3 linked regions of the Rhinolophus ferrumequinum genome follow. The protein of the gene in region 1 purifies or fractionates together with the protein of each later gene. This does not show direct contact. Links are inferred from orthologs where the notes say so. Each region holds a gene or a part of one and is shown in the gene's direction. Other genes may lie near its edges. The genes, in order: LLGL2, PARD6G and PARD6B.

What was found.
Region 2: the proteins of LLGL2 (region 1) and PARD6G purify together in Homo sapiens (affinity purification with mass spectrometry; 4 studies listed by BioGRID and IntAct, counting the BioPlex papers as one, with this or other methods). This does not show direct contact. The link is inferred for Rhinolophus ferrumequinum from reciprocal best matches to the Homo sapiens genes LLGL2 and PARD6G.
Region 3: the proteins of LLGL2 (region 1) and PARD6B purify together in Homo sapiens (affinity purification with mass spectrometry; 7 studies listed by BioGRID and IntAct, counting the BioPlex papers as one, with this or other methods). This does not show direct contact. The link is inferred for Rhinolophus ferrumequinum from reciprocal best matches to the Homo sapiens genes LLGL2 and PARD6B.

What each region holds. Positions count from the first base shown.
Region 1 is NC_046304.1:50,462,117-50,472,286, forward strand, and holds the start of LLGL2 (LLGL scribble cell polarity complex component 2), read left to right. Parts: upstream 1-6,057; 5' UTR 6,058-6,182; exon of another isoform or gene 6,183-6,192; intron 6,193-6,356; exon of another isoform or gene 6,357-6,573; intron 6,574-10,170. Other genes in the region: TSEN54 (tRNA-splicing endonuclease subunit Sen54), read left to right, coding at 724-776, 2,258-2,356, 2,557-3,194, 3,853-3,913, 4,247-4,363, 4,819-4,969. UniProt on the Homo sapiens protein: Part of a complex with GPSM2/LGN, PRKCI/aPKC and PARD6B/Par-6, which may ensure the correct organization and orientation of bipolar spindles for normal cell division.
Region 2 is NC_046302.1:60,466,406-60,476,149, reverse strand, and holds the start of PARD6G (partitioning defective 6 homolog gamma), read left to right. Parts: upstream 1-4,888; 5' UTR 4,889-5,016; coding exon 5,017-5,088; intron 5,089-9,744. UniProt on the Homo sapiens protein: Adapter protein involved in asymmetrical cell division and cell polarization processes. May play a role in the formation of epithelial tight junctions. The PARD6-PARD3 complex links GTP-bound Rho small GTPases to atypical protein kinase C proteins.
Region 3 is NC_046306.1:8,979,637-8,990,217, reverse strand, and holds the start of PARD6B (partitioning defective 6 homolog beta), read left to right. Parts: upstream 1-5,776; 5' UTR 5,777-6,105; coding exon 6,106-6,171; intron 6,172-10,581. UniProt on the Homo sapiens protein: Adapter protein involved in asymmetrical cell division and cell polarization processes. Probably involved in formation of epithelial tight junctions.

The sequences.
Region 1 (10,170 bases):
CAGTGGAGGAGGGGCACAAGGCTAGAGACATTAAGTGTCATCGTGACTACATGGATGGTATTTAAAACCAGGGGGGCTGGATGGGTGTGTGGCCAGAGTGGAGGGCTGCATCTGAGACCTTGTGGACCCCAACATGTGGAGGTCCGGGGGAAAGATGAGACCAGAAACAGACGGAGGAGTGTCCAGCAATGCAAGAGAAAAACCTGGAGAGGCGACATCACAGAAGCCAAGGGATTTTTTTCAAGGAACAAGTGGTCAGCTATGTTGAAGACTGCTGAAGATCAAGCAAGATAGGGGACATTCTGGCATACATTTCTGATACTGATATGGAGACAGGAGGATGAACACGTGGCTCTTTACCAAAGACCACTCCCACCCCACCCCTGTCAATGGAGGGGCGGGGATGTCCACCACCTTCTGCCATTGTCTTGTCCACATTGTAATCAGGAGCTTCACGCTCATCAGCTTTGGTATCCAAATATTTTAGGACATAGTTCTTTTCCTGGCCCGTCAGCTATCAGCTTTTTGGGATTTGCATTTAAATCAAGAAACTGCTATATGTCATTTCTGCCCAAAATAAGGTAAGCAAGAGACAGGAATCCATACTGAGACCTTAGTCTGAAAGGCATTTATTAATAAGAGTGTGGGGAATGGCTTCTCTTCCTGAGAAACTATTTCGTGTTTTCACAAGTGGACGTATGACCTTTTTTTTTTTCTTTGGAGGTCTTCAGCCACCTGAAAAGACTGGGCTATGTGGTTCGACGATTCCAGCCAAGGTAAATCCCTATCCTATTTCTCTCCCATTTGTTCCCATCCTGGCATCTGGGTGACTAGCCCCAAAGTGGAAAGTGGCCTCTGCTAACCTGGAGCCCTTGGCTGGAGTTGCAGCTTTCAGGACACGGGCCGTGGGCCTTTGCTGGAAATGATCTACCGAGAGGCATGTTGGGACAATCGGGTCATTTCAGCTTCTCCTGGGTCATCAGAGTGAGGCCCGTCTTCAGCCTGTTCACTCCGTAGATAACGATTGAGCACCCACAGCTAACTGTGAGCATGGAAATGCACCGCAACAGGGCCAGGCACTTAGTGAGCCAGCAGATTTGTCGAATGCAGGCAGGAGTGAAGGAATTAACAGTTGGTAGGGTTTCACATCCCTTTGGCGAGGTCAGATGTTCTTTCCTTCTGGGGCCTCTGAAGGTCATCACCTTAGTAATCCAACATTGCCCGGAGCCACAGAGACATTCAAACTTGGAGTGGAAACAGGTACAGCCTTTGCAGTTTCCAGGATGTCACCAAAGCTCTAGGACAGAGCTTTAATTTCTGAAAGTAGAATATATCCTAAGGGAATAGTCATAGATGTGTGCATACGTTTACCTGTGACAATGTTCATTCATTCAACAGTATTTGTTGATTACTTACTGGGTGCCAGGCTCTGTGCTTGTTGCTGAGGAACAGCAGAGAACAAAATCACTACCCCACATAACTTGCGTTTAGTGGGGAGCTTACACAAAACAGTGAACTTGGAAACATACTATGAGTCCAACAGGGAGGGCATAGTCACACAAATTAGCTTGTCCCTTCGAGCAGCACTGTCCAATAGAACTTTCTGTGGTGATGACAATGTCCTACGTCTAAGCTGTCCAGTGTACTCCTATGTGGCTTGTACAGCTGAGTTTCTCATTTTTATTTTAATAGATTTAACTTCAGTAATTCCTTGTCTAGTGGCTGCCACATCAGACAGTGCAGCCTTTGGGCCATAAAAAAAGTCATGGCAGGGGAGGACTGCTATAGTGATAAGGCGCCATGTCCATAATATATTATTAACTAAAACAAGAAGACTACAAAGCAGTATGTCATTCTTGTTAGAAAAACCAAATATGGAGAGAAACTGTGGTGTTTATAAGAAACAAAAATGTTACAGTGGTATCCATGGGTTTTTATTTTCATTTTTATTTTCTACATTTTCTGGTCCTTGATATTTCTCACCAGTGTTGAATCATTTGCTTCTGGCTCTGCAGGAGCCCTGCTTCCAGGGAGCTCAGTTCACAGGTGCCACACAGAGGCCTGGGCAGAGATGCATGGGCAGGCCCCTGTGGCCGTCCCGATGTACCCCGTGGGCAGGTCTGCCTGGTGCCTTAGCCCTTGGGTGTGGCTGATCCTGGCCCACTGACTTGCCCGCTGGGCCAGCCCCTCACAAACCCCACCAGGAGCACCAGGCTGAGCAGCTGGATCTGTTGTTTGCCCCATTCTCACCCCACAGCTCCGTCCTGTCCCCTTACGAGAGGCAGCTGAACTTGGACGGCAGGGCCCAGTGCTTGGAGGATCGGAATGGCAAGAGGAAGAGGAGCTCCAGCTCTCGGTAATGCTCCCCACTTGGCCACGCCCCAGGGAGTTGTGGGGGGCAGAGCTGGTGTTTGGGACCTTGGAGAAAGCATAGGCTTAGGAGCTGGGCGTGGGGAGCTCCCTTGAGGGCTCAAGGAGGCAGAAGTGCACCCACAGGACATATGCACCTCACTAGCCAGGAGCAGATGTGCTGCATTTCCTCCCCATGTCCCTCAGGTCCATTAATAAGAAGCCCAAGGCCCTGGAGAACCCCCTGCAGGGGGTGGATGGGACACCTGAGAGCCTGGCAACCTCCATCCCACCTTCCAGCAACCAGAACATCCGATGCCCTGAGGAGAAACCCCAGGAGTCAAGCCCCATAGAGGGCCCAACGGGTCCCTTTCAGCTTCTTGGGTCCCTAGAGCCCAGCATGGCCAGGGAGGGGGTGGGGTGCAGCCAGGAGAGCGGCAAAGTAGAGAATGGGGTCAAGGGGGTTTGTAAGCCACGCTGGAACTTTGAGCAGATCTCCTTCCCCAACCTGGCTTCAGATGGCCGCCACACCCTCCTGCTTGCCCCAGCCCCAGAGCTGCTCCCGGCCAATGTGGCAGGGCGGGAGACAGATGCTGAGTCCTGGTGCCAGAAGCTGAACCAGCGGAAGGAGAAGCTCTCCAGACGGGAACGGGAGCAACAGGCAGAGGCCCAGCACTTCTGGGAGGACATAAATGCAGATGCCCAGGTGCAGCGCTGCTCCACCTGGTGGGAGTACAAGCAGCTGCTGCAGAAGCGGCACCTGCAGAAGACCCAGAGCCGCCCCCCACACCTGTGGGACCAGACTGTCACCCCCTTGTTGAGTCCCAGCCAGGCAGACTCCCCAGGTACCCTCTCACTCTGCCATAGCCCCACAGGCCACTGGCAGCTAAGGAATCACAAGACTTTGAAAGGGGCACGGATTGCCCAAGACCGATTAAAGCTTAAGAAAGATGGGGAAGGAGAGAGCTGTCCCATGGATTACCCACCAGGGCAATCTGTTTTCCTGGGAAGCGACAAAAGGACCCATGTGGGAAGGTTTACAGATGGCGAGTCAGTGCCCAAGGAAAGGACAGGAAAGCAATGAAAACTCCGAACAAATCCTTACTTAATGTCATACACCAGATGGGTGGGGATAGCTCTGCCACCAACTTGCTGTGCTCCCTGTTCTCTCCAGTCTGTTAGGGGAACAAGGAGGTGATCCGTAGACCAAATAAAAGGAAAGCTTGCTGTGTGCCCTGCATGTTAAGGACAGGGGACTAATAGAGCAAGAATGACAGTAACAGATTCAGAAGTACTTCCAGCCCTTATGGGAACATGGGAGATTATAAGGAACTGGACGAGGGCTCCCAGATCAGTTACGTTACGGATAAACAACATGGTAAATCTCTATACTAACAAAAAGCTGTTAAATCTGGGACCCCTAACGATGGCAAACTGAGAATGTCAAGGGAGTACAGATGACGGACTCCCCTCCCCAACGCTTTGTTTTCACTGTCCTTGTAGCCGCAGCCCTTCAGCATATCTCGGTGCTGCAGACGACACACCTTGCTGATGGAGGTGCCCGGTGAGTTTCTAGGTGGTGCCCATCTCCACAGTACTTTGGCTGCCAGTAGGAGTTGGCAGCTGGGATTTGAAGTTGGGTATAAGCTGAGGGGTCGTTCCAGGGACCCCTACCGTGGCTAATATGTGTGTCCAGGGGAGAGGGAGGAGTGCGTGGATTTCCCCCCAGGGTTCTGAGCAGGGCAGCTGAGCCTCCCCTGCACATCAAGCGACACCTCACAGCAGGACCTCAGTTTCCCTGAACAGGCTGCTTCCTGGAATGGGGAGAGGGAAAGGGTGGCGTGGAAAGAAAAGGTGGAGCAGGAGAGTTCCCTAAGGTTTCTCACTCTGTCCTCAGGCTGCTGGAGAAGTCTGGGGGCTTGGAAATCAGCTTTGATGTTTACCAGGCCGATGCTGTGGCCACGTTCCAAAAGAAGAACCCTGGCAAGCCCTATGCCCGGATGTGCATTAGTGGGTACGAGACCAGCGAGCACTGCCCCCAGGCTGCTGCCAGTTATGTGAACCAAGTGGACGGCCTCACAGCACCCGACAGATTGTCAGTCCCTGAGAGGATCCAGAGGCCCAGAGAGATTATGTGACCCACAAGAGGCCACACAGCCAGTTAGTGCTGTGGAACCCAAGCTTCCCAGTCCTCAGCCCCATTCCTGGCATTTGCAGGTAGCCTCTCTCCTGTTCTGGGCTCATTTGGAGAACCTGACTCTTCCTAGCCCCCTTACTCAGCCAGGGCTCTGGGTCTCTCTTGAACTTATCAGAGCCATGCAGTTTGCAGACAGGAGAGTCCAGGGGCCAGACTTCTTGCACTCCCAACTCCTGTCTCAGTCTCCCTTCCCTGGGAGCCACAGAGGGCTGGGGTCGCAAAGCCTGGGGTTAGGCGATGTCCAGGTCTCAGTCTAACCTTTGTCCCTGCAGATTTGATGAGCCAGTCCCAGACCTCCGCACTCTCAAGCAGTTGTCCTACCAGAGTGGGGACGTTCCTCTGATCTTTGCCCTGGTGGATCACGGCGACATTTCCTTCTACAGCTTCAGGGACTTCACACTGCCCAGGGATTTGGAACACTGACTGTGCAGCTCTGGCAGGACCTGGGGCCTGTTGGAAGGGGTGGGGGGGCTGGGGACCTGGACTGTCTACTTTCAGGGCCCATCTCAGCTGCCTCCTACACCCTGCAGCTGCAGGGGCTAGTCTGGGCCTTGGTCCTGGGTGTCTGATGCTTGCAGAAGAGCAAAGTTGAGCCCCCGCCCCCCCCCCCCCACACACACACACTTGGCTGTTGCAGCGCTTCAGAGCCCCCGGCCTAAGACTGACGCCTTGCAGTGATCCCCTTGGAATTCAGCACTAGATTTTAGAGACCCAGCGCGGTGGGCCAGAAGAGAGGACTCTGTGCCTTTAAAGGAGAAGGTGCCTGCTTCATGCGATAAAGCCAAAGCCATTAAAAAATAGATCCCTTTTCTGCCGTGGCTGGATATACTGGAGAAGCCCCCCAGCCCCAATATGGGGGCGCAGACCCCCCCCAACCCGTTGTCGGTGGAACTGGCGCCCAGGACCTCACCCCTGCTTTGCCCACCCTCAGAGAACACTGCTTTCTCCGGTGCAAAAGCTAAAAGAAGCCCGCAGGAGGGCAGGACACAACCCCGCACCTTTCTGGGGCCTGCGTCGGAGGTGATGGGAAGTCACAGACCTCTGGTCAGCTTGGCTTTCTGAAAGGGGTCCTCGGAGGGAGGCCAGCGGTCCAGCAGCCCTTCCCTGAAGGCAGCGGATCTGGGTAGGGCAGCTGAGAGGCGCCATAGTCGCTGCGAGCTGTGCGGGGGAGCGCGCCGTTCGCGCCCCAGGCCTGGACTCCGCGCCCCTTCCGCTCCCGCCTCTGGTCGCTCTAACCCCCTCCCTCGTGCTAAAAACTCTGGTTGCTGTTGGTGTCCCTCGGGGCCTCGGGCGTCTGCCTACCTCTGCAGGGACTAGGAGAAGCGGGTTCCAGGCTTGGGGCCCGCCTCGAGGGGAGGCGCCTCGCGGCGACGCCCCAGTCCCCACGCCACCTCGCTCTTAGGTCTCGAAACCTGGTCCTGTGTCCGCTGGTCACCCTCTGATTGGATTGGGCGCTCTCAGGAAGAGCCGGCCGGGGTATGCCCCGCCCTCAGCAGCTCCGGGCCGGGTTGTGGAGGGACGGCTCCTCTGGGCAGTCGGACCTGGAGGTGGCCCGGGGCCGTGGCGAGTTCCGGGAACTATTTCTTCCTCCGGGAGGCGGCGGGACACTGGGTGCGGCGAGCCGTTCTCCGACCAGGTACGCGCAGGTGAGGCCGGGGGCGGGGCGGCAGCGCCTCGTGCATATTCTCGCAGGCCTAGGCCCCGCCCCAAGCTGCCTGGGGCCGCGGATTGGTCCGGACGGCGGTCCCCGCCCCGCGGGGGCGCTCACGCCCCGTCGGCGCAGGGCTGCGGGGGGCGGAACTGAGGCGGGGCCGGGCCGCTGGGGCCCCGCGCTCGGGGTTCTGCGGGCCTTGCCGGCTCGCCCTTTATGTAAATAGTGGCGGCTCCGCCTCCTGCTCGCCGCGCTGGAGGTGAGCAGGAAGGAGACGGCCGCCCAGCAACCCGTGGGCCGGCGGCGGAGTGAGCAGAGCCAGCGGCTGGCGCCGAGGGAGTCGGAGGCCTCGGCGGGGGCCGGCCTGGGGTTCCAGGTGAGGCGCGGGCCGGGGCCCACCTATCCGGGCCCGCCCCCTCGGGGCACCAGCCACTTGGGGTGGGGAGGCAGGGGAGGGCCGGGACCCCGGGCGGGGCTCGGAGGGCTGCGCCCAGGTCCGCCCGCCTTATCCTGGATCCAGTCGCTCCGCCGGTTTAGGAGAAAGACACCTGTAGAAAGTGCCACTGGGAACTTTTCTCTGCCTCATCCGCCCGCGATTACAGAATTTAGGTTTCGGGTTTGCACTGTAGTGTTGGCTTTGGGGAGTGGGGAAACAGGTGCCCCACCCGGCTGGGTGCGAGGGTCACCACGAGCAGAGACGGAGTCCCCGGGCCCCGGGACCCACCACGTGCAAGGTGCCTGGCGGGGGAGGCCGGCGACGCGCGTTTCCAATGGTCCTCTCTCCGGCAGCGGCGGCCGGCGAGTGTTACGTCGGCGGCTTAGCCCCTGTCCCTGCCATCTGGGCCCTCTTCCTACCGGCCCTTTGTGTCTCGTAATCCGCGGACGCAGGAAGCCCGCGGGAGGGACTTAGGGCCTTTCTCTGCCTCGGGCGGCTTTGGGTACCTCTAGGGGACAGTACGGAGACCTAGTCTGTTTTCCACAACGACAGAGGTGGGGTTGCACTGTGGAACGTTGGGACTTGGCTAGGAGTGGAAAATTCTGCCTTGCCAAAGGAAGTGTGCAAAGTTTGCTCAAGGTTTGCTCCGGCTGGATCGTTCGTAGACACATTGAGCTTTGGCTTGGGGGAGAACTGACTAACCAGGAGAGCCCTGTGTGACCCCCTGAAGCTTTCACCTGAGACAGGTGAGGTGGGTGGGGCTTAGACTCAGGCCCCTTCCATGGGGATCCCTGAGCCAGACGCAGTGCGTCTTAACTTGGGCTCTAGGGGTCCTCTGCAGAGTTTACAACTCAAGGGTGCAGAGGGGATTCTGAACAAGGAAGTGAGCTGAGAGGGAATGAGTGTATGTGGGAGACAGGAAACCCCCAGGTGGGAAGAACAGAGCTGCAGTACAGAAGAGCTGTGGCCCAGCACAGGGAAAGCCACGGTCAGAAGATGCTTTTAAGGAAGACAGGTTGCGTCTGTGTGAACTGAAGTCCAGAAAGGGTCCTCCGAGATGGTCCAACTTTCTTATTTTATGGACAGAGAATCCAGATTTTGTTTCCTTAATTGATCTGTGCACAGTGTCCACTATGGCAGTCAGGACTCAAACCTGGCTCTGGGGGCTGTGACCAGGACTGGCTCCTCTTTTCCGAAGTTAGACTGGGCCAGTCTCAATGGGGACCACTGGACAGTGTTTGGGGGGATGAGACCTTTTAGAAAGTATAAAATAAGTGGGAAAAACTTCTCCCTCTTGCCTCACAGTCTTTCCTCAGACATAGTGTTCATTAAGTGTTTTAGTGTCCTTCGATTCTCAGGTATACTTTTGAATTGTGTCTGATCAATTTTTCTTCTTGCGACCTTGGCTCAGTCACTTAACCTTACCAAGCCTCAGCCAGCCTTATTTTTCACTAATGTTGACAAGATGAAAAATGTTACAAACACATGTGGCTTGGCACATGCTGGAACCAGGTGAGGGGTTGCTTCTCAGCATCCCTGCAGAGCATAAAAAGCAAGCGTGGTCACTTATGGGCCTTTGGGCAGACGTCTGGGCCTTTTGAACATGCCTGATGGATTGTGAGGGAATCGGGCTTCTCTGTCCAGAAACCAACTGAGAGGGTCATGATTTCTGAGAGCCTCTGGAGGTCAGAACTTTTAAAATGAGGATGGGAATAGAGGAACAGAGGTAAAGGGCAGTGGCTTCTCTTAACCTCACCTTGTGTTCCAGTGGCCCTTGGTAATTCTGCTCCTTGGGAGAGCCAGGAGTGAAGCCTGATGGCCAGACCCCAGCTGAGGGTCTTTTGGGGGCGGGGGCGATGTAATCCGTTCTGCTTTCTGCTCAGGGGAGGGCTTGACTGTACACATTCTGCACCCTGTTGGGGGATGGGGGGAGGGAGCACATTCCTGCGCTGCTCCTTGTCATTAGGAGATTTTCTGAGAACTCCATAGTGCTTTCTTTCAACCTTATTTAGGGAAGGACTTCTCGGCCCCAGGACCCTCTCCCTAGGAGAAAGTGATGCATGGAGCTGGAAAGTTCGGAGCCTTTACAGTCAGTCTGTGACCCCCTGTCTACCCCACTGGAGACATTGACCATTCCTGGGCAGGAGTCTCCAGGAGTAATGTCGGGTTTCCTGAAGGCTTCCTCAGCCTTACTGGTCCTTCCAGATGTGTCAGAGGTAGCTCCTGAGACACCTGAGTGGGGGTGGGGAGGCTGGTGGTCCCTGCTCCTGGGCTGGCTGCTTTGAGCAGCACTGGCCTCTGGGACGCCCTCATCCAGAGTAGTCAGCTTGGAGAGGCCTTCTTATCTCACTCAGGCAACACCACCCTCAGGGTTCCTCCTGGGTCAAGGCATGCCAGGTCTGGGTGGCAGATTTGTCTTCCCTTGCCCAGGAGCAGTTTGCAGGGACAAGTGGGGTAAGGGGCAGGAGAAGGGCATCCCCACTGGGGCCTCTGGTTCTGCTAGCCCTTCTCCAGCCCCTCCTCCCCAGGAGACCCTCCGTCCTGTGCCCTGTCACCAAGAGGCTTTGCCCAGCTTCCTTTGAGGTGACCTTCCCTCCCCACCCTGCCTCCCAGAGGAAGCTGGTCCTTTGAAGAGTCACTCCACTCCTTCCTCTTCCCAGGAACCACAGTGAATTCTTGAACTAGGAGAGGCTCCTCTGGGCGTGGGGACAGGGAAGCTGCTAGTGACCTGACTCTACCCTTCAGGAATTCAGCAGTGACCGGAGCCTTCTCTCGAAATACCTGACTCAGTGTTCCCAGGGTTTGATGAAAGGGACCTCTGGGCACAGAACTGTTTGACTCTTGTAGCTAATGATATTGTTGGGTTCTTTTTGCCGAGGAGCTGGGTGTCCTGGAGCCTTGGACGGAGGCAGGGCCCACAAAGGTATCCCCAGCAGGAAGCCAGGCATGATGTCCACATGGCCATGGCCTTGGCCAGAGATTTAAGAGCAGGATGGAGAAGTTCCCTGAGGGACCCTCTGGTGACCCAACCCAGTGTTCTCTGGGGTTGGTGGCTCCCAACTGGAGAAGACCTTAGTCTGGTTGATCCCCATTCAACCCTACCTGTTCATTCATTCACTCAACAAGTATTTACTGGTGCCTCTGTGTGTGTGGCGTGGCTCAGACACCAGGCATAATCCTCACACAAAGCAAAGATCTCTGTCATCACAGGATTCTCATGCTAAAGGGTGGGGAGCGTGAGTACAGAAAATACGGGTAAGGAATAACATCTTAAAAGGCGATATGAGCTACAGAGTACCAACTAAAGCAGGGGGTAGGACCCCCGTGGTGGAGGCAGCTTGCAGCTTTAAAAGGGGGTCAGGGCAGGCCTCGACAAGGTCACACCCCAGCCCAGACTCGCAGGGGTGAGGAAGTTCTCTAAATACAATTTGAGTGTCTCCCAGGTGTCAGGGCACTAAGCACTGGGGATACAATCATGGGCAGGACAGGCTCAGCCCCTTTCTCCTGGAACTGACATCTTCTAGAAACTCTTAGGAC
Region 2 (9,744 bases), on another chromosome or scaffold:
TTCCTCAGCCCAGAGCACGGCTCCACTTCTGCCCATGTTCCCTTCCTCTGAGGTCACAACTGACAGTAGCTTCCTGGCTGCTCAGACTGGGCTCTGGGGTGACACTTTCCTTATGGGGGAAGAGCCTGAGCCTCAGACAGGCACAGAGCTGGCTTCTGTCTCCTCCAAGTACCAGCTGTGTGACTTCAAATAAAGACATGGAGAGTCAGTCTCCTCACCTGTCAGGTGGGGATAACGGCTCCCTCTCCGGTGCCTGTGAGGTCAGTGAGGTGATGCAGGTCGGCTCCTGCCCCACACGTGATGGGCCCTCACTCCCCCTCCCTCTCCCCTTCTTAGTCCTTTCTCTACCTCCATGGGCTGGAAGGATCAAGAGTTTAGCAAACAGTCTTCTTGTGGCAGAATAAGTTCTCCTGTTGTTGTCCACACAGTCACAGTCCCCTGATTGCTGACTCTGGCACCTGTGCCAGCTTCATCCTCAGGGCGGTGCTCAGCACAGCCCCTCCCTGGTCTTCTGAGCTGAGGTGAAACCATGATCGCATTGGTTGTGTATGTGCTGTGACAGGCAGTGTGCTGAGTGCTTTGGGTGGCTGTATTCTCTCCTATTTTACTGTAGTTTTCTAAAACCACTTTATGGAGGTACGGTTGACAGAAAAACTGTACAAAATTAACATATGCAACTTGATGATTTTGAAGATCAGTGTACACCTGTGAAACCATCACCAGGATCTATGCCATAAACGTGTCCATCACCTCCACACGTTTCCTCCCAGTCTTCATATTTATTTTTTATTAGTGCTGTCATCATCACTTGTGTGTGGTAAGAACACTCACCATAAGATCTATCCTCTTAGCAAATCTCAAGTGTACAAAAGAATATTGTTCACTAAAGGCATCATGCTATACAGTAGCTGTTTGGAATTTATTAATTGTGCATAACTGGAACTTTCTACCCCAAACACCACAGTGCACTTTACCAGCAACACCAACACCAAGCCTGCTAGCACTAAAGCTGGCAGCTCCGTGCCCAGGCTTCTCAGACCCTGCTCCACGACACGGAGGGGAAGAGGTGGTGTGCTGGGGGGCCGCTCTGAGCCCATGGAAGTTAGGGAGCTAACGAAAGCCTCCCTTCCTGACTTCTGAGCCCAAGGCTCCAGGTCACCCACCAAGAGTGGACAACAAGGTCCTTATACTTGACCAAGCTCGAGTGTAGGTGGGCTGGGATCCTGAGTGTCTCCTGGAGGCCAGCATGGACACAGGCCCAGGTCTCTGACCCTTGGCACTGCTGACTGACATCCTTGTGGTGGGGGCTGTTGTACGGTTAGCAGCATCCATGGCTTCCACCGCCCACTGGCACATCCTCCAGACACTGCCAAGTGCCCGTGGGAATGGAGGGTAAGATTGTTCTGTTTAGGAACCCCTGCTCTTATCCTGCTGCACAGATTTGGGCTCTGGCCAGCCCTTGCGCTGCCCAGGCAAACAGGACTTACCTCCTAGCCAGGCCACTGGGTGTGGGGGGCGCTGGAGTCTCTTCCTCTCCTCTCCATCACTGTCTCCTCTCTGTCACATCTCCTCTCTGTCACGTCTCCTCTCCGTCATGTCTCCTGTCCATCACAGTCCCCTGTCCGTCATGTCTCCTCTCTATCAGAAATGTCATCAACAAGATCTGCTGATTCAGCAACTCACATAAGGTTGACATTTCTTCTCTCTTATTCAGGTCATGAAAACAATATCTCGGTTTCATTATTAAATCCCCCTATTCTTTACGAAGAAAATGCAGTTAGTCCCCATGTACCTAGAACTTTGAGATTTTAAAGCTACTGCTGCTTCCATTTAAGACTCTGACAATTGTAAGGGCTTTGGGGAAAACACATCTTCTTGGGTCTATAACATGTTTCCTTTTTTTTCCCCATTTATTTATTGGGGTAACAATTGTTAGTAAAATTACATAGATTTCAGGTGTACAATTCTGTATTACATCACATGTTTCCTTTTTGATCCCGGGGGGCTCAGGCACCACTTCTGGATGGACTAATTGAAGACAAAGATTTGAAGAGGATTAGGCCCATTCCCCTCCTATTTCCTCTCTGTGTCGGAGCCTGCTGCAGGCCCTGTGTAGTGGTGACTGCGCAGCTCTGCAACCGGGACGCAGTGCAGGGACGCCTCTGGCTGCTGTGCTAGTTCACCTCAGGGCAGGGCACTCACTCCTGGCACCCTCCCTGGGAGGGCACCGCCTGCCCCCCCATCCCCCTTCAAACACTGGGAACTGGCAGAGCACTGTAACGACTTCCAAGTGGGGCCACAGCTGCTGTGTCTTTCGGTTGCCAGGCTGTAGCCCTGAGACAGGCAAGGGAAGCCCTGCGGTGCCTGTTTACCAATAAATACTGAGGTCAGTGAGGGGACGGACCCGTCCAAATGCCTCGTGGGATGCCTGCAGAACTCACAGAGGCCATACAACCCCTCTGGTGAGTCTCCACATTTACTTCACTTGAATCTGAAACCTCACGGAGGCGGCTGGCTCCAGCAATCAGCACGTGACTGGGTGAGTGCGCACCACCTGGAGCCCGCCCATGGGGACTCACGGCTGTGTGAGGACCGGTAGAGAGCTTTTCAGTCATGTGGCTGGACTGTGAAGAAGCTTTTCCAGCTGAAGGCTCAGCTCAGCCAGTTGTTTTTGTCTATATACGACCCACCCACAGGCTTGAAGCCCTAAAGAATCCAGTTCAAGTCTTGGCTGGAAACTCAGGCTCCACCTGCACACGGTCGACTTTCCCAGGCTTTCCTGCTGCTGATCAAGCTGATCAAGAACTGACGGGGCGGCAGATAACAGGAAAAGGAGCAACCTGCCCAGGAACAACCCAGGGTCATGTTCAGGTGTAGAATCAACTTCAGGGGCTTGGGGGGGGCCCTGACGAGTGCAAGGTGGAGCCCACGTTGGTTGCTGGGCCTTGGACACACTGTGCCATGAACGTGGCAGAAACGATCTCATTCCGTCAAGCCTGGAATTCTGTTCTCTCTAGCTTTCCCTCCCACTCTTCAAGCCCTGAGCTTGCTGGTAGGTGCACCCCCACCCTAGAATTATGTTGGTTTCCCCTCCGCCCCTCAGCCCACCTGGAACATGCCCCCACGCCTCTCCGACCCACACAGGACAAGGATGTCCACTGTCGGCCATCACTAATACCCTGGGACTCTTCTCAGGGCCTCATTCTGTTCAGGAAATGGCCTTTTGAGAGAAACTCAGCTCTGGACACAGCTTGCTCGCTCTCAGCTTGCCCAGTGGGTATCTCTCGGACATGTTCTGATTCTGCCTGGAATTTACTAAATTTTGTATAGATAATTAATACACCAGGTCATTCCTAGCTTTCAGACCAGTGGACATGCTGAACCTTCCGTCTGGAATAGTTTTCCTGCCTCTGTGGGAATCTCTCGACAGTTTTGTTTGCTTGCTTACTTCACATGTGCCTTGTTTGGGAAGTCTGTCTGCATGTCTGGCCCCCAGCCCAGCAGGGTGTTTCTCCTGAGGGCACCTGACTGCTGTGACCGCATCCTGCACTTAAGGGGACATTTAGTGACATGAAGTGAAAATTAAATTTTGGTAATGCAATTGGGCAATCTGTACTAAAGGGCTTAGAGATATGCATACTTTGTGGCCTAGTAATTCCACTTTTAGTTAGGAGTCCAGTCTAATGAAATCATGAGAAATAAATGAATTCAAGAAACACAGTATTATATAAAAGCTAATCATTGGAAACATTTTAAATATCCAATAATGGAATGGTTGAAAAGCATGCCTGTGTTCATATACGCAATTTTTGAAAACCATATTTTCTAAAATCGCTTAATGAAAATGTTCTTTACATGAGTTAAAAAGAGCAGGCTGCCAAACTGATTAAACAGCATGATTTTGTAAAATATGTAAATACTTATGCAGAAGAATAAACATAAAATGTACTAAAATGTTAATACAATTGAATGCTGAGTAGTGTGACTATAGGTAGTTTAACTTTTTTATTTCATTTCTTTGTATTCTCCGGATTTCTTTTACAATGAATTTATAGTACATTTATAATTATAAATTGCAATTATTTATAGTATACTTTCTCTGAGATAATAAGTAACAACTGATGCCATCTATCGCGGAGCATGCGCTTTTCCTAGGAGCCTGGGCAGAAGTCTTCCTTCTCAGAAGACAGGCCGAGAGGGGCTCTGACCCTCTCCTTACCCCTATTACTTTGACCTGTGCCTTAGGAGTCTGCCTCCTGCAGAACTTCGCCCAGACCACCGAGCGCCTGGAAGCCAGTACACACAGGTGTGGTTCCCCTGTCATCCAAAAATCGGCCCAAAGCAGCCTCCTTAACGGCCGTGCTGGGGTAGCGGGGCGAGTACTGGAGAGAGAGAGCGGGCACGGCGGTGGGAATGAGGTGCCCTGGGTCGGGTGGGCGATGCTTGTTTTCCAGGCTCAGGATTGCACCGACAACAGCGCGCACCTACCACTGGCGGCAGCCTGGGGGCGGGTCCTCGGAGGCGGGGCGGAGCGCGTCCTTGGGGCGCGGCGCAGAAGGGGCGGATCCTCGGGGTTGCGGGGCGGGCACAAGGGGGAGAGTCCTCGGGGCGCGGGGCGGGGTTTGGAGGAGGGTCCTCGGGGCGCCGGGAGAGGGGTTCCTAGGCGCCGGTCCTTGGGGCTCGTGTTGCGGGTGCTCGAGGGCAGGTACTCGTGGGGCGGATCCTTGAGGCGCGGGGCGGGTCCTCTGGGGGCGGGTGCTCGGTGCGCAGGGCGGGGATTGGCGGCGGCTTCTCGGGGCGGCGCGCGCCGGCGTCCCCCGCTCCTCTCGCGCGCGGCCGCTGAAGTCCCCGAGGCGCGCGGCCAGCCCAGCTCGGGCCGCCGCACTCCGAGCAGCCCCGCGGCCGGGGAGCGCGGGCCGGGGCCGAGGCCGCGGCGGGGGGCGCCGCCCCCAGCGTCTTTCTGCAGTCCCTAGAGCGGGGGGCGAGGGCAAAGACGGGGTGAGCGGGGCCGGAACCATGAACCGGAGTTTCCACAAGTCTCAGACCCTGCGCTTCTACGACTGCAGCGCGGTGGAAGTCAAGAGCAAGGTGAGCCGGGGCTGGCGGTCTGCGCCCCCTGCGAATGAATGGGCGCCCCGCGGGGCTCGGGGCGGTGCGGGGGCGACCGGCGTCCGCGACAAGTTAGGCGCGCGGGCGCCATCTGGGAGATGCAGGGTCCGGACGTCTTTCCCGCCCCTCTGCGGACACAAAGCCCGCAACCTGGTGAGGCCAAGGCACCCGGAGGGCCAGAGCCATCGGCCTGGCCGCGCGGGTTTCGGACCCTCAGCGGGAGCAGCTCTTTTGTTCCACGAGCGGGAAGCGCCCGGCAAGCCGCACGGTGGCGGGGCTTCGGGGGCCCGGGACGGGGGAGGGCTCTGACCGCGTTGCCTCCCCTGCGGAGAAGCGTCGGAACCCGCGAGGGGAAGACCGCAGCCGGCCCCCGGCGCGCCCCAGGCCCAGCCTCCCCGGGCGCGCTGGGCCGACGGCTCCTCCCGCTGCCGGCGCCCGGCCCGAGCGTGCCCGAACTTGCGGGCAGCTGTGCGCGTTTGGGTGACTGGCTGATAGGATCTGGCGCTTCTGCTCTTTGCGGGGGCGGCTCCTTCGCCCCAGACGCTTTTGTCTGCAGGGGTCTCTGTGGGGTACCCCACGGGTAGATAAAAAGCTGCAGTTGTTTGGGTCCTGGAGAGGGGGGCCCTTCGGGCCTTCGGCTGACTGCTGCTTGGAGCCGGCCCTCCCTTTCTCTCTGCGCCCCCTGCTCGCGGTAAAACAAGGCGGAGCAGCCGAAGTGCTGGGAGGGCGGGGCCGGAGGGTGGGCTCTGATCCCACCTGCGCGCATCCTGGAGGCGCGGAGACGGTGTATGTACCCTGATGTGTCTCTGGGGAGATGAGTGCAGCGGCCCCCGTACCTGCGCTGCCCTTTCCGGCAAGGCGGGGTGGGGGGTGGGGTAGGGGGCCTCTGCTGTAGGACTTCCAAGGCATCCGCCGGGTGTGTGTGTGTGTGTGTGTGTGTGTGTGTGTATATGTATGTGTGTATGTGTGTGTCAGTGTCGGGCGGGGGATCGAAGCTGCAGTGAGTTGCAGGATTTCATTCTTATCTTCACTCTCACGGATTTTTTATGAACCCCTAGTTTCTAGTACGGTCACACCGTTCCCCCAGTGCTAATTCTGTGACCCTCGCCCCCGCTTTAGCCCGGGAGTGCCCCACCCCCCAAATCACATGGGCCTGCTGAGTCGTGTGGGAGAAGAACCGCCAGGCATGAGTGGGAGTCCTAAATAATTGTCTGTTTCTTTAGCTCTGTGGGAATGTGGCTTTTTAGAGCTCCTTGTCCACTACAATAGCCACTGAGCACGTGCGGTGACTAACTTTTACACTTTTTACAAATTTCAAGATCATACATTCCCAGACAGTTGTGGGAAAAAATAGAGAGACTCCTCAAAGGTGACATCAGTGTCAGACCCAGGACCTTAGTGGACGTGTTGGCATGTGCTGAGGTCACCACTTTTGTCGCATGCACATTCCTGCAACCACCAGCACTGTTGAGAGACGAGCGCTTCTGTCACAGTGGCCACCTGATTCCAGCATGCGCTCAGTTGTTGTAGCCACATTCCCGCTGCAGTGCAGCTGCCTGACCAGACACACAACTCCAGGGGTAAAGATGGAGGAGACGCCCCTCCCAGGCCTTATCGGGCAGCTCTGGACGGATGGCCCCATGCAGGCCGCTGGGGGCTGGAGAGTAAGCCTGTCTTTGCCTCTCCTTGGGGTCTGGGGGCTGTCGGTGTGCTGGTGGCCCAGTGGGGTGTCTCAGGACGCCCTGATCCTGGCATCAAGTTCATTTGCTGTGAATGCTCCCCTGGAGGTTGAGTAGCTGAGCCAGAGTTTTAGTTGAATTTGGGACCACCCCTGCAAGGGCCACACCGTCCCGGGCTTGCTAGGCTGCTTGGTTCTACAGCCCCTGCCCCTTTTGGAGGATGGGCTTGCCTTAGTAGCTATCCAGAGGGTCCACATGGCTCTTCCCTTGGTAACACCCTTCCCTGGAAACCTGTAATAGCTAATATTTGCTCCCATGCAGTCCATCTCTGCAGGGATCCTTTACTTCTGTTGTCAAAATACAGGATGCAAAACTTTACAACAATGATGTGTTTGTTTAACCTAAGTGTAGCTCCATAACACATTGGTTTGCATGTAGGGAAATGGTGCTAGGGGGCTGAGTCCAGATGGTTCTGCTACCCCTACCCTTGTGAGCTTTCAGGCAACTTTTCATTTAGCTTTTCCGAGCCTCGGTTATTCATCTGTGAAATGGGCATCTATCTGTTCTGCTCCCTCCCAAGACCAGATGGGATGATGGGTGTGAAAGTGTGCAGCACCTACAGTCATAGAAGTGACTCACCTGTGTGTGTCCGCTACAGGTGGCTCAGGGCTCTGCTGCATTTCAGAGCAGTGGGTCTGAAAATCACCTCTGATTCTCCCAGAATGTTTGGTGTCAGCCATCTGACAGCTGGTCAGTTCCAAAAAAGCCTTGGGGACATTATCTTGACCTAGTTTCTCTCTGCCATCATGTCACTTCTTACACTTCCCCAAACGTTTCTGCCTTACTTGCTGCGATCCCAATTCTGACATTAGGGCCACCATTTCCCCATTTACTTTGACTTCAGCCTCTGCTCCGGGAGACCTGCAGTAGGAGGGAGGGGCTGTGCAGATGTCTGGGGAGCGTGTTTCAGACCAAAGGGAGCCAGTCTTGGCCCACCAGAGGGTGGAAGGAAAGCCAGTGCTGGGGGAGGGTCTGCAGGGGTGGAATAACTAGGGACGACTTGTCATTTAAGGAGAAGATAGAAAGTGACACATTGCCCCTGAGAATTTGGCCGGCCTTTAGCTACATGAGTGGCTGGTCAACCTCACCAGCGTCTGCGCGGCCTGAAAGCTACAGGGACGCAGTCCTCTCATCTCAGCAGTGTGCTCCACCCGGACCCGCCCTCTGCTTCAGGCCGGGGGTTCAGTCCCACACAGGTCTCATCCACGGTCCCTTGCTGACCCCAAAATGCTTTGTCTAAGAGTTTTCCCGTCCTGCCGACCCTCTCCTGCAAAGCCCACCCATGCCTTCCCCAGGCCAGCTTCCTCTGTCCTCTGACCCTGTTTCTATGTTTCCCTCATCTTAGGGCTCTTGTCACAGTGCTGGCACAGGATTATTTTTCAGAGCAGGGACCCAGGACCGTGTTTACACTCACAGGGTTTGTGGCTATTGTGTTTGGGGGAGAATAGCACTAATAGAAGGTTTTAATGTAGGTTTTGCTGCTTTGTTTAAATAACATTGGAGGCTTGTTTGGATTCTAAACAAATACATTGTCCTTTGGAGAAGTATTAGAAACCATTTCAGGAGCAAAGGGAGGTAATTCTCCTGTCCAAAGGTGAGCCACTGTGCAGGGCCGCCCCGTGTCCTCTGCACCCTTTTCATGCTCTCGTCTTTGTTTTACAGAAACAGGGTCAGATATAGTAGGCGTGTTATTCTGTGGCCCTCATTCCCCCTTCAACTCAACAGTGTAGTGCAAACAGTGTAGTTTTCTTCTGTTGTAAATATTTTTAGAAAACATATTTTTAAAATGACTACATAGTATTCCATCTTACGTGTAAACCGTAATGAATTTAACCAATATCCCATTTGGGTTATTTCCAATTTTCTCTATAATAAACAATGCTGTGAGTAACATCATTATATTTAACTCTTTATATAAATATACAAAGTATATAAAGAATACCGATTCTATTAATGCAGTGCAGAGCTCTGACGTCTTTAGCACACATTCCTAGACGTGAAATTACTGGGTGAACAGTATGCGTGTTTTTCAGGCTTGGAATACACGTGACTGAATCTTCTTACAGAAAATCTCTCCTCCTGGTTTGTACGCCCCATCCCGCACCTGTGCCCCCATCTCTCACCTCCCTCCAGCACTAGTTTTCCGCTTCTTTCCCAATCAGATCAGTGAAACGCAAATCAAGTGTCCCTTGATTTGTACTCGTGTCTAGGTGAATTGAACGTTTTCATGTCTGTTTCTTCCTTGCCCCCATCCTTCTGTTTGTGTTCTTGTTTCTTCTGCATTCACGGAGCTGCTTGTCCAGTCGGTGCAGGTGCTGGTAAGTCCGTGTGTCCCCCGTCCCAAGTCTTGTCTCTGGCTGAGGCTGCTGGCTGCCTGGACACGCCCTCTGTCAGGTGGGGTGGCTGCGCCCTTGCCTTCCGTGGGCGGGTTGAGAACTGCCTGACACAGTTTGACTCACCTGTGTGTGTCAGCTACACCCTTTTAAGGTCCCGGTTTTCTTGTATCTGTGCGTGTCTGTGTTCAAACAGGTTCGGTGACTATATTTGGGAAGTTGTACCCTAGGAGACCACTCAGGGACCAGGTGGGGGTGTCATGTGGGCACTGCAGGGGTTGCTGGCAACCTCCCTGGCCTGTGAGCAGCAGAAAGACCTGTGCACCTTCCTGGGGGCATCCCAGCTAGCCAGGGGTTCCAGCCCTTTCCTGGGACCCATGGTATCTCAGGGTCTCCCAATTTTAGGGAAGGGAAGGACTGTCAGGAATTGGAAGATGCAACTATCAGGGTGTCAGAAACTCGAACATTTATGAATCGCGTCCAGAAGGAGCAAAAAGGGAGAGTATCCTGACCCTTTCCCATGAAGGACCTCCTGGATCTTTAGGGGAAGCAGGAAGGGGCTG
Region 3 (10,581 bases), on another chromosome or scaffold:
GTCAATGGATAAATGGATAAAGAATGGGTGATACATATATACAATAGAATATTTCTCAGCCAGGGAAGGGAATGGGTTCTTGCCATTTGCGGTGGCATGGATGGACCTGGAAGGTGTTGTGCCAAGTGGAATATGTCAGATAGATAAAGATGGATGCAACGTGATTTCTCTTATAGGTGGGATTTAAAGAACAAAACAGACAAACAAAAACAGAAACAAACTCATAGATACAGAGAACATTTCGATGGTTGCCAGATGGGTAGGGGATTTGGGGTGGGAGGGTGAAAAGGGGGAAAGGATTAAGAAGTACAAATTGGATGTTACACAGTAGTCACGGGGATGTAGGGTATAGCATAAGGAATATAGTTAATAATATGGTATTATAATAACTATGTATAGTGCCAGGTGAGTACTAGACTAGTCAGGGGGATCACTACTTAAATTATATAAATGTCTAACCACTATGCTGTACACCTGAAATTAATATAAAATAATAGTGAATGTCAACTGTAATTGAAAATTTTAAAAAGGTGGGGGAAGTTGAAGGGGAATAAGAGGTTCAAATCTCCAGGTATAAAACAAATAAGTCATGGGGATGTAATGTACAGCATGGGGAATATAGTCAATAAATTTGTGATAACATGGTACGGGGTCAGACGGTTGCTGGACTACTCATGGTGATCATTTCTTTAGGTGTATAAATGTTGAATAACTATTGTGTACCCCTGAAACTAATATAATGTTGTATGCTAGCTATATTCTAATAAAAGTCTTTTTTAAAGTAATTAGTAATAACGACAATAAAAGGTACACTTATGGAGTCCTGACCCTATGCTGGACCCTATCCTAAGTGCTTTGTACATGAATTGAGACAATTAATTATCTTATTATCCTCATTTTACAGATGCAGAAACCAAGGCTCAGAAAAGTTAAAAACTTGCCCGAGGTCATCCAGCTAAGAAAAGTCACAGGCAGGATTTGAATGTAGGCATCTGGCTCGAATCATATTCCCAACGACTACTCTAGGCTGCCTCTTGTCCTCTCTAACTAAAGTATGTCCATTAAAAGGTTGCTCTGTGTGAAAACAAAACGAAGGGTTTATTATACATTTATTTCTGTATTGTTTCAACGAACTGTTTTCCAAGGCTTTCATAAGCAATATTATTTGCTAAATGATAACCACGAGTATTTGCACCACTCTTGATGGTTTCATGCAGTTTCTCATCTGATCCCAGCAACAATGTGATGAGCTGGGCACTGCCATTTCCTTTTACAGAGGAAGAATCAGAGGCTCTGAGCAGTTAAGAGGGCAGGATCAAGGTCACTCAGCCAGCAAAGGAGCAGAGCAAGGGCTCAAATTAACACCTCTCACTTTTAAAAAAACTTAAGATCATATGTAAAGCTCTTTCATGCTGCTACTTAAAAGTACATAAGATAATCCTTGGAGAAGCTTCGTACAGTTCCTGGCACCTGGTAGGACCCTCATAGATGTTAGTTATCATCTTCACCAACACCTCCTAGGAACTGGAGTATTTTAGCTGATGACTGCAGCCTGTCTGTCGACCCTGAAGGAAAGATTACCCTTTTCATTCCCGTTCACCCCTGATATTGTTGAAATAATGATCAATCTCCATTATCCCCCGGGTACCGTAGAATGTTGAGAGCTGGAAGGGATTGTGGAGATGATCTCATTTCCGTGCCTGCATTTACAGACGGAGAAATTGAGTCCCGGAAAGGAAAAAGGTCAGAAAGCAAACTCTTCAAGGGCAGGGCTTATGCACAGTGCCTGGCACATACTGCTTCCCACAAAGATGGTTTTTACCTGAAAGGGCACCTTGCTTCTTAAAGCCTACAGGAGATAATCCATTGGTTTCTGGAGCTGTGAGCACCCCCACCCCGCCCCCACACTAAGTACTCAAGTGTTAGAAGCTCTTAACCAGAAAACAGATCATGTGACTTAATTCCATCTCTGCTAAAGAGCTTAAAATGCTTTGGTGAGTAGTCTGAGATTCATAAATATACACTTCAACTCTTTCTGAAAGAATTATTAACCAGCTCCATCAAAACTGGAACTTGAGCAATCAAGGAGAAAAAGAGCTGGCAAGAGAAACTTCTTGAAAAAAAAATCTCACCACCATTATATATGACTTCTTGCCACCTTTTTTTTTTCCCTAAGAGTTGGAGGAAGAAGGAAAGAAAAAAGTATAATTATGCATGACATGAATCAATAAAACGAATTGTGGAAAATTACAAACTCTTTTCACCCCACCAAGAGAGAGAGGTTTCAGACGAATGCAACAGTGTGTTCTGTCGCAGAAGAACTTAAAGACAGAATGTAGTGAATAGGAGGATAAAGCAGAAATGTAACCCTCACTAGCTTCTTTCAGAGGGTGGAGATGGCCTGGAGAGATTTGACAGCGTGTGGGTGTAATAATCAGTGGTAGCCAGTTCCCAACTAATGATTTTGGGGAACCTATCATTTTATAGAGTGCGTGTCACACACTCACCTTACTTATCTCCCTAACTCACTGAGTATGAATTCTCGCAGGCATGGGACTAGCTTTTCATGCCACACGTGCAGTCTTGATCAGCTTTAGCTTGAGGATTTGGGGGTGGGGAGGGATGATGGAGAGAAATGAGATTAGGATTCAGCCTTCAAACCAAAGGAACTGGAATATAAACCCGGCTTTATGCTTTTCTCTGGGCTTCATGCTTCTCAAGAAAGGTTGAAATTCAGGCCCTGCGAACAAACTTGTGGCCAGAACAGTTCTCAGAATGAAAGGGTGCCCCTCCTCCACAGCACCTTTATCAAATTCAAACTATTTTGCACATTCCTTCTTCACACAGCCCAGGCTGCACTTGTGAAGCAGGCCTCAGAGCAAATTCCACTTAGGAGATCCAGGAAGCTCTGGCCTGGCCCTCCCTTCTTCTAGAAAGGAAAGTCCAAGTAAAGAGAGATGCCACACCCGGGGGAGGGCAGAGAGGATATGACAACACCTCCAGGAATGCAGGGCCCACGCAGGTGTGTTGGCACCCACGAACTTCCTTTTTAAAAGGGCCTGATAAATCAGTACTGATAATAGTAATAAAGCTCAGCCACTCAACAATCGCTCACACAAAACTGGGGCCCTCACTCCCAGGGTGTGACCCTGGTAACTGGGGAGAGGAGAGTGACAGCTGAGAATAGAGATCCTTCAAGGTTGTGACTCTTTCTAACCAGCGTGGGGTCCCTGGGACCTTCTTAGGGGATTCTCAAAGTCACAGCTATTTTCACAATACGAAGATGTCACTTGCTCTTCTCACCTTCCTTGCCTCACAGGTTTACAATGGAGTTTTCTAGAAGGGACAAGACATCTGATGATATCATCGCCCTGCTGACTACTGGAATGTGTGCTTGTGTTTTAAACATTTCTCAGTGTTAATTCTAATATGATGAATATTGAAAGACACAACACACAGAAACAAAATACTTGGGGTCTTTCCATAATTTTTAAGCATATTAAGGGGGTCTTGAGACCAAACCATCATGCTGACCCCATCACAGGACCACACTTCATTCCCAGCTCAGCTTGAGTCACATATGAGGCATGATAAAAAAAATATGGTGAAAAGATATGGTTACATTTTAAAAAATGTATTACAGTAAAAGACACATCGCCATTAATACCCCTCAAAATACTCCCCCTCGCTTCAAAGACATCTCATCGTGGTTGCCACTTGCTGAAGCAGTTCTGGAAGTCCTCTTTTGTGTCTTTCCTTCATCCTCCATCATGACAATGCTCTGTGTCACACATCACTTCTGGTACAACACTTTCTGTCAAATAAAAACATTACGCTGTGTCCTCGTTCACCTCATTCACTGGATCTGGCATCGTGGCATCTGGCTCCTCACCAAAGTAAAAATGACCGTGAAAAGTTAACATTTTTAATTGATTCAGGACATCGAGGCAGCCGCGACAGCACAACTAAAGACACTCACGAAAGAGGACGTCCAGAACTGCTTCAGAAAGTGGCAAGAATGATGGGTGTGTTTGAAGCGAGGGAGAGTATTTTGAGAGGGATTAATGTCAATATGTCTTTTACTGTAATACATTTTTTTAAACAATCACCAATTTTTTTATCACTCCTCATAGTAGGTGCTTTTGAACAGGTGGTGGAGAAGGCAGCCTTATTATTATTCACCTTGGGATGGTATCCTTTCCATCTGTAGCCATGCAAAAGGGCCAGAAAACCTTAAATTCTCCCACGAGCATTTGATAACTTGAACCCCTTAGGGGGAAAGTGGGGCAAAGTTAGCATGGAGAAACCACACTCCTTCAGCTCCAGCACCCAGCGAAGACACATCTGAGTACCTGCCTGGAGTGAGGTACCATGCTACATGCCTGGCCGTGAGCAAAGCAGATGTATTCCCTGCCTTCTAGAGCTTTCATTCTAGGGCCGAGGTGGATTACTCACAGAAAAACATGGGAAAACTGGAACTTGTTACAGGTGTTGGGAAGGTGTGCGAAGTGTGTTAGGAGGGGTTTGAGATGAGGGGAGGAAGGCCCTACGGACTCAGGTGGAATGACGCCCCCTAAACAGCTCTTCTCTGCCATCTCGGCTTAGAAACCCCACCCGCAGGCCCAGGCCCAGCTCACAGGGGTGTTCAACAGCTCTTTGCTGAGCAGTAGACCCACGGTGAGAAGTCCCTTCTGCAGGTGAGTGGGGGGACTTACGGGGGTCTCCTTCTCACCTTCCCAACAGGACCAATGCTAAACAGGGTCCTTGTGAGGAGAACCCGGCTCTGGGGCATTTAGAGAGAAGGGTTCAGTCCTTTGTTATCTGGGACACAGTTTCGTCACTGGTGAACACAATCCAGAGGCTGTCAGTGATGGAAACCGCAAATGGCCAAGAAATGACTGGAGGAAGGGAGAGGAAGACTTTAGAAATTAAAAATAAACAAAAAAGGAGTAAAGGAAGCCCTGGACCAGGGCCGGTCTAGGAGAAATCCTCAGGGAGGCAGGGCCGGCGAGGAACCATCGGACCTCAGCCCACTTTCCCTCCCTCCAGGCGCCTACTCTACCGCTTGGGACCTGACGGACTGCAGAGTCTCTACCGACAAAACCAAGCCAGAAGAGCCCTGAGGTTAGGTTTTCAGTAACTGTTGTAGAAGTGGGAAAACTTGAATTTTGCAAACAGAGTCTCAGCCTGACACCTAAACGATGCAAATGGGTGGCGGATGGGCGTTGTTTCAGGCGGCAGCGTCCCAAAGTGGAAGCCGAGAGGAGGACAGCGGAATCCAGCACATCCACGAAGCCTCGGCAACGCGATCCGCCGCGCGCTCCAACCCCCAAAGCCGGGTTGGAGCCGCAGACGGGAGCGGGGCAACCAGCCGCGCGCCTGCGCGTGCGCTAAAGGCTCACCCGCTCCCGCTCATCTTCAGGTGCGCTCGCGCTTCCGGCCGGCCTTCCCGGGGCGGAAACCCCAGAGCCCGCGCATGCGCTTTCCAGCTCTCCTGCTCGGTCACAGAGGCCCACAGCTTCAGGTGATCCCGCCCCTCCCTCTCAGCGAGAGACCAATCGCGCGGTGGTGGGCGGGAATTTCTAGGAGGCGGCCCGCCCAAGGTCTGTGCGAGACGGGTGTCGATTGGTTGGCGCCTCAGGCGCAGGTGCGCGCTTCCTATTGGGTGTGGGCGGAGCGCGAGCCGCCGAGACTTCCACGGAGGCTGCAGGTGAGCGCGCGCACGCGCCGCGGCTCCCGCCCGCCCCGGGTGCGCGCGCGCGCGGGCTCGCGGGGGAGGCGGCCGAGAGCGAGGCTGCGGCGCCTGTCGCCTCTGCTCCGCCCCCTCCGCCTCCTCCTCCGCCGTCGCGGCAGCCGCCGAGGCCCGGAGGGAGAGTCACGTCCCCGCCCGCCGCTTCGCCAGTCGGACCCTCAGTGTCGCCCTGTGAGGAGTCAGCCGAGCGGATCTCTGCGCGGACACCCGAGCCGCTGCCGCCCCTCTGCAGGTGCCTGTGAGGAGGCCCCCGGGCCGCTGCCGCGTCCGGAGCCCGCCGGCCGCGCACTCGCTCCCCGCGCTCCCGGGGGTCGGCCCGGCTGGAGGAGGCCGCCGCGGGGCCCGGCCTCAGCATGAACCGCAGCCACCGGCACGGGGCGGGCAGCGGCTGCCTGGGCACCATGGAGGTGAAGAGCAAGGTGCGCGGGGCCCGGGCTGGGCGGAGCGGCCGTCCGATGGGGGCCGGGGCCCGGGGGAGGCACGGGGGCGGCCTGAGGAGCTGCCCCGGAGCCTGGGACGGTGGAGGCGCGGTAGTGGGATTTGGAGGCAGGAGACGGTGGATAATAAACTTGCTGAGAAGGGAGGGGAGAAAGGTGGGGGCCTTGTGTCTGCTCCTGGCCCAGGTAGGAAAAAGACCAGTGGAGCATTTTATCTGGTTCTTTAAATCTCATTGCTGTTCAAGGATGGGAGTAGGGGCCAAGATACAACCGAGGCGTTTGAGCGCAGCGTGGTGTCTAAAGGTTTGGGGGAATTCTTCCTCCTGGCCTGTGAGTAAAAGGTGTTTGGAACACCCGCGATCACAACATTACCCCTTTCTGTGGTTCAGGGGTTCATCGAGTGGTGAACGAGAGAGAAAGAACCCAGTGAACCAAAGAGCCCTTTGGAAGTTAGCTTTGCTTCCTGCTAGGGGTTTTCCTAGCGCTAACTTTGGTATGCATTTAATCTATGAAATTAGCACTATCACCTTTCGTTGGAGGAGCACTTTACAGTTTGAGTCTCGATGCTCTTTTCATTCCATCATGCTACCTTTTCACATCAAGTGTTTTCACTCTTGACCAGCGGTATGCCAATCTGCTGATAATAAACGTCGGTAGCCACTGAATTCCTAAATTGCAGGAGTAGAGTAGTCTATAGGGATTAGTGAGGGAATGCTCTCCAAAGGAGGTGTTGAGCTGGAATTTGAAGGTGATCTGCAGCCACGTTTTCAGCAAGATTTTCATGAATTGAAGGGCCAAAAGGAGCTTAGATAATCTAGTCTAATTCTCTGAGAACACAGAATATGACTTCCCCAAGCTCTGCTTTGAAGACAAAACCTTAAAGCCGTTTTACAGAGGAACTTTTAGGCTTTCTAGAATACAAAAGAGGACACTGGCTGGGCCCTGAGAACATTTAAAATAAGAGTTGGGAAGACCAAAGTACATAAAAGCATAGGAGAAAAGCAAAAGCATACCAACTTCAAAAATAATGAAATCAGTGAATGTAAGACGACTAAGAATGCAAAATCAAGGAGTGATTTTGAGTGAAGTGGGTAAGGAAAGCTCCCTGGAGCCTGTGGGTGGAATGGTGTTTATTATCTAGAGTTGATAAGCAAAGTTCTGTAAGTTGTTATAACTGAGATCATCACATCAAGAATATCAACATTCATTTTTTTAACATCACTTTAAAATGTTATCTGTGACTTAACTTGTATCAGGGTAGGCCCGAGTTTCAGAAACCATTCTGTTTAATAAGAATAGAAATGTAATTAGAGCAATAATTTAAGGGATGCTAAGGAATATGCTCTTCCTTGCGTCCTCCATTGACCTGCCAAAACAAATTGAAGTGACAGTACTTGAACTAAGGGTTAAGATGACTCAAAATAGAGCTTTTCCTCCAATGGTTGAACCTGCTCATGGCATTTCTGTTACAAATCTAGTTTGGTTTTGTGGGAGTTGAGGTTAAGAAAAGAAAAACATTTATGATATTGCATGATCTTAAAATTCAGTCTGTGGTCCTAATCTTGGTAGCAAGTCAGTAATTTTTTTAATCATAGGGGAAAATGAGTAGGAATTCTAGGTGCACTGATAAATACAACCAAATAGTAATTTATCTCTCAGACTAGGAAACCTTGAGCACTTGGGGACTGGAATTTCAGGCTTTCTGCCCTTCTGTCAACTGACTTATGAATCTTTCCCATACTTAGTCTAAACTATATGTTAAATATTTGACCTGCGATGCTGTACTGTTAGTGAACCATCTCTCTTAAATAGAATCAAGGCATTCTGAGAACCTGCAGGGAACGAAGTGTCATCCCACTATTGTTCTAGCTGGCGATGAATCTGCACAGTATAGATACTCTTTCTAGTGTGTCTGTGACACCTTGTGTTTCAGATATGTATTGTGATACATTTATTTTTTAATGGCACTTGTCATTTTTACCATTTAAAAATATTTGGATAGATGTTTGTAACAATATTTCCTTTTTTATTGCTTTAGTGATATCACAGCTTTTTACAAAACTGATCACTACATAAGAGGTTAGGGTGTAACCACAACTAGGTGATATGCAAATCCACATTTCAGGATCTCTTTCTTCTGCATAGAAAAGAGTCAACTTTATTATCTTTGCTCCTGGAAGGGCAAAATGATATAAATAAATTAATGGATAATGCAAATGTAGCTATAGTTAAATTGTGATACCAGGTACCCTGTGACTTTTCTTTGGTAACTTATTTATCTTCCTGTTGCTACAGAGTTGGGAAAGTTCTTAATCAATGATCAAGGTGGTGTCCTTTAATAACCTTGGAACAGCCTTTGAGCTGTACATTTCCTAATTATTATTCATGGACAAGCAGAATTTTAAAATTAAGTTTGCATTTCTAGAATGTACCAACAGAAGATAGGAGGGGATGTTTATTCACATCCTGGGTGGCCAGGAAAAAGTAGATCAGGCTAAAAAAGTTGTAAATGGTTCCCATAGTGAATAGTTCTTGATTAGTCTTAATTTTATCTCTATTTTAGTATTTTTCTTCATGTAGTAAACAGTTCTCTTAATCCTATTGTTTTGATGCAAGAAGCATAACAATTTCTCTCTTTGTTTTTCCTGCTAACATTTGCAAAAGGGCACATCTACTGAATCCATACAGTTTTCTATTGTTTTTTATCATAACATTTAAGCAAGAGAAAAAAATGTTTTCATCCAAAAGAATTTTCATCCAAAAGCTTTGGGAAAAACATTGAAGCCCTAAATTGTTTATTAGGTGTTACTCTCATTGGTGTATCAGGGGAGGTGATAAACCCTGGGATGAATCAGACAGCACTAAGAACTTTAAGTTGTGATATCAGAATGAAGAAAATGGAGGAGAAACTATGACTTTTGATAACATCATAAGGCTCACTGATATGAAGGGTGTGCCTGAGTTTTTATTTACTTTGAAATGAGAAGGTGTGACTAAACTTTTTGAGAGTTTTAGGTATGAGTCACTTTATTTTCTTGACAAATATTAATGTTTATGATTCAGGAATGTATTTTGGAAACTTTTAATTATTTATTAGAGGTAAGAGGTAGTTTTAGTGAATTTTTATTTTAATTTAAAACTGGTGAGTAGCATGGATATAAGCAAGGCCGATGAACTTACAGACAAAGCTGTGACACTAGATATCCCATAGGGTCCTTGGGAAAATGAATTGACACATTTGTAACCTCAAATTATTCTGATAGGGACTTTCTCTGCATGATGCTTAAGGTTGTCTTAGTGGTGCTGATAATAGATATTTAGAGGGAAAATGAGTTCAGTGGCCAAACACAGCAAACATTTGTCTAAAAAAAAAAAATTTTTTTTTTTTTTATTAATCAACCACAGGAGTTAACTGAGCTTTTAATGTGTGGTCTCCACTGATTCCTAAGAGTGTGATTATAGTTACGTAGCATTTCCCAAACGTGGCTGGTACGCGTTTTTGAGGCAGGTTGAGTAACCTTTCGTAGGTTTCCACATTGGGGGAAATGCCATGCTAGACCCGAAGTAAGTCAGATAGATCCTGTTTATTACAGACTAGGTGAAGCCAGCCCTTAGTGTTGAATAAGAGCCACTTTAATAATTTAACATTTGGAGAGCAGAATTGTGATTCTGGAGTAGGGAAGCAGACCTCAGAAGCAGAATTGGGAAGATAAATATTGGTACTCCCTGTTTGTGTGATCCCTTAATACCTCTCTGATGTAATTTTTCTCTTTATCCACTAATTGGTGAACTCGTGTATGCCTCAGCCTTTCAATCTCTAGGGTCTAGCGCGGTGCCAAGCACATAAACACTTCTTGCATTAATTGGATAGTTGTAGGATATATATTTGATGTATTAAAGCTTTTTTACAGTATTAACATAGGGAAGATGCATCTTATCTCTAGACCTATTTCTTACATGATATACTTCCATTTGTGTCATACCTTAAATGCCAAGAAGTTCAGAGTTTTTTGTATATGTTTCTGTTACTTCTTGCCACTTCCTGTGAAATCGTAATTTCTTTTATGGGGGAAGAAACTTAGATGCTTTTTGCTAACAGTCGAAATAAAGACTTGGGCACATCTTGTGACCCTGTGGCCTGAGTGAGGAGAGCACTGCTGTCAAGATTCAAGCCCTAGACAGGGTTTGAGCTGAGTCACTCACTGTGCAGGACAGTCCCCAGGGAGGCCTGGCTACCCCAGGGGTTGAGTGGAGCCTGCATCTCTTGAAGGGGCGCCCTTCAGAGACGAGGCAGTGAGAAGGCACATTTCTGTGCCTTTCTTAACGCTGTTTTATCGCCAGGGAATGAGGTTTCTGGCAGGAGACTGTCACTGGAGCTGTCGTCTTCATTAA